Tribolium castaneum: one gene and its partner. The protein of the gene in region 2 purifies or fractionates together with the protein of the main gene of each other region. This does not show direct contact. Links are inferred from orthologs where the notes say so. Each region holds a gene or a part of one and is shown on either strand. Other genes may lie near its edges.

Region 1 (3,691 bases), about 2.1 Mb from region 2:
ATGTGGTTTGAAGTTATAGCTTCATCTTCTAACTTTACAGTTTTCTGTTTTGATGGTAACTCAGAAAACTCCTAGAGGGCCCAAAGTTTAGGAGTGTTTACAGTTGGAGGTTACGTTTGCAGGAGAGGTTATGTTGCCGCACTGAAAATTTAGTGTAAACCACGTGTTTACAAAGGGACGCTCTTTTACGTTTCTAATTATTTGAGGAGTGAAACAAAATGTCTTTTCGTGGCCGAGGCGGCGGTGGTGGCGGCTTTGGAGGTCGTGGTCGTGGGGGCGGCGGCGCTCGAAATTTTGGTGGAGGCGGCGGGAGAAATAGTTTTGGTGGTCGCGGGGGCGGCGGGCGAAACTATGATCAAGGCCCTCCTGAGAGAGTGATTCCTTTGGGCTACTTCGATTACACCGTACAAGATGATTTAGTTGCTAAAGTAGAAATAGAAGACGTTCCATTTTTCAATGCGCCGATTTACCTCGAAAATAAGGAACAAATCGGAAAAATTGATGAAATTTTTGGAAATCTCAGAGATTATTACGTTTCGATACGTCTCGGAGACGACATAAAAGCTAGCAGTTTTAAAAAGAATCAAAAGGTATAAAAAAATTCACTTACCATTCACACATCTAAAATAATGTTTTGCAGTTGTTTATTGATCCTGCGAAGTTGTTACCACTTCAAAGATTCCTACCGAAGCCCCCAGGCTCAGTCCAGAAACGAGGCGGTCGAGGGGGAGGTCGTGGGGGTGGCGGAGGCCGCGGTGGTGGCAGAGGGGGCGGCAATCGCGGCGGGTTTGGAGGAAGAGGAGGCGGCAATTTCGGTGGACGTGGGGGTCGTGGGGGCGGCGGCGGTTTTAGAGGTGGTCGTGGGGGTGGATTTGGCGGCGGCCGAGGAGGGGGCGGCGGCGGCAAGAGGTGGTAGACTTGAAATTGTGACCAATGTTTTTTGTGGTTGGCAATTGTTCCATTAAGTGTATGAAATTTTTATTACGAAAATAGATCTATGAAAAATAAGAACTACAGGTTATTTCAAATTTTTGTGTGAATATGTCAGCAAACAACACGAAATGGATGGTGCCACTGTTTGACAAAGTTAATAAATAAAGAATATTTAAAAAAAATTTAAACTGAAAACAAAACCTTAATCATCAAATTTTGTATGTTTTGCTTTCTTTAACAGTTTGTCTCTACCACGTTGTTTCTTTTTTGCTTTGTTTAGTTTATCCTCACGATCTGTTTTAATTTTTTCCCAATATGAAGATTCTTCCTGTCCTGTTAATACCTCTTTTTTGCCAAAAGATTCTTGGGAGCAAAAATTTTTAGCGCCCTCCGTGGTGTTAAATCTTACATAAATGTTCTCACTGCCAGGGTTTGGAATATCTACGTACAATATATCAGCTGAAGAAGTTTTAATTTCATTCTGAAAAACGATTTATCGCAAATAAATTGGCCAAGATATTTAGTTTAGAAAATTTACCTTAAGTTTCTTTATATCCAGGGTAGCTTCGGTTAGCTTTATTTTTACAATAAGTCCCTTGGTAAAATCCTCTTTGTTGAGTTCAGTCTTAGCAGTGGGAGTTTTCGACTTTTGTTCATAATTTGGTTGATTAAACTTGGCTTTTAGAAGGTGTTTTTTAAACTCTTTCATTTTCTTCTTTTGTAAATCTAGATACCGATTTCGCATCTTTTTCCACTCTTTTCTAAAAAACAATTATTTATCAATGATTAAAGATAATTCTAGCTGCTTCACTTACTTTGATAACACTTGGAGGCCCAATTCTTTTATGTAATTTTTCTTTTTGTGTTCTTTTTTCAATTTCTTCTTTTTCTTATTTTCGGCATCGTCCGACTCAGAAACGTCTCCAGTATCATGTTTTGAATTTTTTTCTTTTTCGTCACTTTCACTGTGTTCATCATTTTCTTCAGTGTGCTTACTATCATCGACTTTCATTTTTTTCCCTTTTTCTTCACTTTCGCCGGATTCACTTTCTTCAAGTTTTCGTTTTCTTATTTTTTCCTCCGCTTTACTCTCACAGTGTTCACTATCTAGTTTTTCGCTATTCTCACTATTGTCTTCAAGTTTTCGCTTTTTTGTTGCCTTTTCGTCTTCTCCAGATTTTGGCTTCAGTGTAGAATTTTTAGAGGAAGCCTCAGATTGTTCATTACTTTCTTCAAATGTTTTAATACTACAAAGAGTTTCTGGTTCTGTATTTGACGGCATTTTGCAGCCAATGCTTTCAAAGTAATTTAAAGCATTTTGCGCTTCCTTTTCTTTCTCGAATTCGACAAAAGCAAAACCCTTTATGGCACTATTGTTTTTGTATTTTGGTATAGAAACGTAGACCACATTTCCAAATTCAGAAAAAACAGAGTTCAACCATTCATGAGTTGCATCGGATTTTAGGCGTTCTACATAAATCGTACAATCATCAACGTTAGCCTTTTCTTTAACCGGTTTTGTACGACGAATTCTACTACGATCTTCTGATAATTCGATTAACTGCGACTTTTGTACAGCTTTTTGGATATCATCTATGCTGGTTGTGAGTTTAGTAATTTTGTTAAATTTCAAAAATACGTTCAGGTCGACAACTGAAAAAAGTGCTTGGTATTTACCTACAACTACTCATAAAATAATCATATAGTCACTTACAAGGATTCTCCTTTATTAATTGAGATAGAAATCTATCTTTGGTGAGGTTAGAGTCGCTAAAATAAAATTCCATTTGCTGCAAAATGGAATTGTAGAGTTGCTTTTTTCGATGGCGACCTTTTTTAAGTATTGAATCGTCGTGTGCATTTGCATTTTCTTTCGTTTCATTTTCCATTTTCAATACTTTGCAGAAGTAAAAATGAAAATTATAACCTAACTTAGCGTTTGGAAATGAAATTGAAAAAGAAACTGCCGCCAACCATAGAAAAAAAATATTTGTTGGAGGTAAATTTGGTTGCCTAATTAAAAAAAATGTTTTTAGAATGCAAAAAAAATCATTTACTTTTTAAATTATACGCCGCTTACTCTTATTCATAGGAGATAGCTCTTATTCAAAAAATAATTATGTTTAGTTGTATCAATTACACCCATGCTACTCCTAGTGCATTGTGTGCTGCACTTTTTACCTAATCAGGCGTGAAGTCTTAAGTGAATAACTCTATGTATTTAGTTTAGATTATGAAAAAAAAACTTTTATACTTTATTAACTAATTTAATTAAGTTTTACCATGAATTTGAATAGTACTTCAAATCGTTTCAAATAATCCATTATGTGAAACTGAATACTCACCTTGATTTCATCTTTCTTAGAAACGAACTATAAAGTCACCGATAAAATGATAAAAGTAAGTTGTTTATTACATTAAGTTACTTAAATCACTGACATACTTATATTGTTTGCCTTATGGATTGTGAAATTTAAACATCAGCACGTATAAGTACTGATGTTATCGCCTTAGCAACATATAAGCCACCAACTTGAGCAATCTTACAATAGGTTTAAATTTTATGAAACCATAAGTAAAATTATTCATCAGATTAAATTACAACAGTCATTTAAAAAAAACATTTATCATAACTAACTCATAGTATCTTTGCCGATGTTTTTTCGTGCTTATTTATTATTTAACTATGTACTTTTGGAGATGTTTTTATCTTTTGGCTTTTGGCCACAATTAATGAGGCAAATTCAAAATAAAAAGT
Region 2 (3,453 bases):
AACCTTCATATTGAATTATAAATCGATCCTTCGGAGAGAAACAATATTATTCTCTTTCTTTAAGATTTATATCAGTTAGAAATTCTATTTATTTTTAAGTAGTACCGTTGAGGTGCCCTTCCAGTTAACAACAATTTAACAGTCTTGTTAGGCATTTTAAACATATTATTAGTCAAGCCAATTTTTGTCCGATTGGCGGTTACAGGGTTGCAACTCCTTCAAAACCTGCTACCAACTGAAACATTGATTCTGGATCACTTTGTATCAAAAATGAATACACAGACCAAAATTAGCTTGTCTTCAAAAAAGTTAATTTAGGAATTCCTTCTTACCTTTTGCTCCTGCGATGAAATTACACGCGAAGATGCTTCTTCCAAAGAAGGAAACGAAGGAAATAAGATGAAAACAGGAAGGACAAGGAAAAATATTAATTTTCACAATTCGACGACACTTGAATATAACGGCGGAGAGTTCTCAAAAATCTGAAAAGCTCTTACTTAAAATAGTGTTTCAAACACAAAACACAACGTCATGGTACCTTTTTTCCCTTTTTTCCGAACCCAGAGTACCATCAAGACACTTCAAGACCATGGAATATCAGCGACCTCTTCACAAAATGAAATTAAGTACTATTCGTAAACAGAAAACTGTAATCTTCTTAAATCAACAAAAGGCACAACAAAAAATATGATTAAGAACGCAAAAGTGTTAATATTGATTACTAAAGTCTTAATTTTTACGAATGATAATGATATTATCATTTCCTATTTTCTTTAAATAAATAATTATATAAATAAATTTGTTGGTTTACTGCGTTTGTAGTTAGAACATTTTGGTAGCAGTGCCAAAATGCTAAAAGTTATCAATTGGTGTTACAATTTGGTAGATTTTTTTTTAATTTCGATAAAATACTGTATTTTTCGAGCTGAAAACCATTCGCGAGCAGGCTCACCCAACCGCGCTTTTTTTCCGTGACATTGTCTATTGTCATATGTCATTCCTGGAGGTTATGTTTTGATTGTGTGTGTTTTTAGTGCAATTGTGATTCAGAAAAAAGCAGCGGAAATGCATTTAAGTACTTTAAATGTGGTGTTTTAAACCTTCACACGTTTCTTCTTAATTGACGAAAAACTGTGCTAAATATTGCCTTGTCTAAAGCTTGTGCAACGTTAGACAAGAGGCGATTTTGCAATCATGAATATGCGAGATAAAGAGAAATACATTGAAAATTTCCATTTCCCGTTCTGTGATGAATCGGAAAAATACGAGAAAATTGCGAAAATTGGCCAAGGAACGTTCGGGTAAGTGACTTAGTTGGGGTTACTTGGGGTCACATATTGTGCCCCATTTGTTGTATTTCTCCGATTGTAGTGAAGTGTTCAAGGCGAGGGACAAAAGTAATCCTAAGAAATTCGTAGCAATGAAAAAAGTGTTAATGGACAATGAAAAAGAGGGCGTAAGGGGTCATTAATTTTTTGCAAAGCTTTCAAACTTGTATTCTAGTTTCCAATCACAGCTTTGCGCGAAATACGAATTTTGCAACTATTGAAACACGAAAACGTTGTTAATCTTATAGAAATATGCCAAACTAAGGCTGCATACCGCAACAGATACAAGTCAACGTTTTATTTAGTGTTCGATTTTTGTGAACACGACTTGGCCGGGTTGTTGTCAAACGTCCACGTTAAGTTTAGTCTAGGAGAGATAAAAAAAGTAGTGCAACAATTATTTAACGGTCTGTATTACATACACAGCAACAAAATTCTTCATAGAGATATGAAAGCCGCCAATGTGTTAATTACAAAGAATGGTGTTTTAAAATTGGCCGATTTTGGCCTAGCTCGTGCATTTAGTACCAATAAGAATGGACTGCCAAATAGGTGAGTTCAAACAGTAAATTAAAAAATTGGTCACTAGTTTGTAATCTACTATTTCAGATTTACAAATCGTGTCGTTACGTTATGGTATAGGCCTCCAGAACTGTTGTTAGGTGAAAGAAACTACGGCCCCCCAGTTGATTTGTGGGGGGCTGGCTGTATTATGGCCGAAATGTGGACAAGGTCCCCCATAATGCAGGGCAACAGCGAGCAACAACAGCTCACTCTGATTTCTCAACTTTGTGGCACCATCTGCCCCCAGGTCTGGCCAGGAGTTGAGAATCTGGAGTTGTACAAGAAGATGGAACTCCCCGTCCAAAAGCGAAAAGTAAGTCCCGTAGGAACAAAGATCGCTTCAATTATAAGCCTAGAATATTTATTTAATCCTCTGTACGAGGTAATGTTTCCACCACGTTCTGAACTGTAGTTTATAAACCGTAATTATTTACATATAAATTCGGAAAAAATGTGATTAAACAAGATCACAGATTTTATTTTTATTATTATTATTTTTTAATCTTCTCCAGGTGAAAGAGAGGCTGAAGCACTACATGAAAGACCCGTACGCTTGTGATTTACTCGATAAGCTGTTGGTCCTCGACCCCGCCAAACGGGCCGATGCTGATACGGCCCTCAACCATGACTTTTTCTGGACTGACCCAATGCCATGCGATTTGAGCAAAATGTTAGCCACTCACACTCAAAGCATGTTTGAATATTTGGCTCCGCCGAGAAGACCGACACAAATGAGGCATCATTCGTTGCCAAGACCGACAACTTCCGCTGTGCAAGACAGCGGATACCAAGATAGGGTTTTTTAGTTGTAAGAAACACGGACATTGTGGTTATTTTCAAGTAATGTGGAAATTGTTTCTAAAGTGGAAACATAACTGAAGGTTTTTCGGGAACCCTAAAATTTGATGTTACTTTTTATTATCTTTTTGTAACGTTTAATATGATGTTACTTAGTTAACATAGCGAATAAACTGTGTAAAAACGCTTGGTGTTTTTTTGGGGTGGAATGAAATGACTTGTTAGTACATATTATATATTTTATTGGTTTGACTGCACTGCCATCCGGCCTTACAATTCAACAACATGGCACACTGTACATGTATCTGTAAAATAATATATATGTATCTGTACATATCTGTTAGCTTGTTTCATAGATCCTCTACATAGGTAAATAACATTCTTGAAGGAGAAACCTTCATTCAAGGCACTTCAATAATCATTGTCTTCTCTTCATTTAATTAGATGTAGTTTCCTACCCATTTCAAATTGTTCTAAATTAACGCAATAACATTGTAACTCTGTTGCTAATTTAGTTGAGCTTACCGAAAGTTTTGGCAAAAAGAACTGGTAAATAAAATGAACCACTCATAACAATGACCTTTCAGAATACTGATTACGAAACCGTAAAATTTTGAAGGCAAATATCACAGAATGCCCAACAAATTACACATTAAATCACATTTAATTGTAAAACATTGCGGAGGACGTCAAACTTAACAAACGAGAAATTAATCAATCATGGCATATTTACATTTTCGGGCGCGGTTAAATTTAACCCCTC

What was found.
Region 1: the proteins of Cdk9 (region 2) and Larp7 purify together in Homo sapiens (affinity purification with mass spectrometry; 15 studies listed by BioGRID and IntAct, counting the BioPlex papers as one, with this or other methods). This does not show direct contact. The link is inferred for Tribolium castaneum from reciprocal best matches to the Homo sapiens genes CDK9 and LARP7.

Annotation. Positions count from the first base shown.
Region 1 is NC_087394.1:30,501,908-30,505,598, forward strand, and holds the start of Larp7 (la-related protein 7), read right to left. Parts: upstream 2,904-3,691; 5' UTR 2,823-2,903; coding exon 2,648-2,822; intron 2,587-2,647; coding exon 1,749-2,586; intron 1,695-1,748; coding exon 1,472-1,694; intron 1,415-1,471; coding exon 1,136-1,414; 3' UTR 917-1,135; coding exon of another isoform or gene 641-916; 3' UTR 591-640; coding exon of another isoform or gene 219-590; 3' UTR 1-218. Other genes in the region: Gar1 (H/ACA ribonucleoprotein complex subunit 1), read left to right, coding at 219-590, 641-916. UniProt on the Homo sapiens protein: RNA-binding protein that specifically binds distinct small nuclear RNA (snRNAs) and regulates their processing and function.
Region 2 is NC_087394.1:32,586,016-32,589,468, forward strand, and holds Cdk9 (cyclin-dependent kinase 9), read left to right. Parts: upstream 1-968; 5' UTR 969-1,194; coding exon 1,195-1,301; intron 1,302-1,371; coding exon 1,372-1,456; intron 1,457-1,503; coding exon 1,504-1,880; intron 1,881-1,937; coding exon 1,938-2,205; intron 2,206-2,404; coding exon 2,405-2,698; 3' UTR 2,699-2,876; downstream 2,877-3,453. UniProt on the Homo sapiens protein: Protein kinase involved in the regulation of transcription.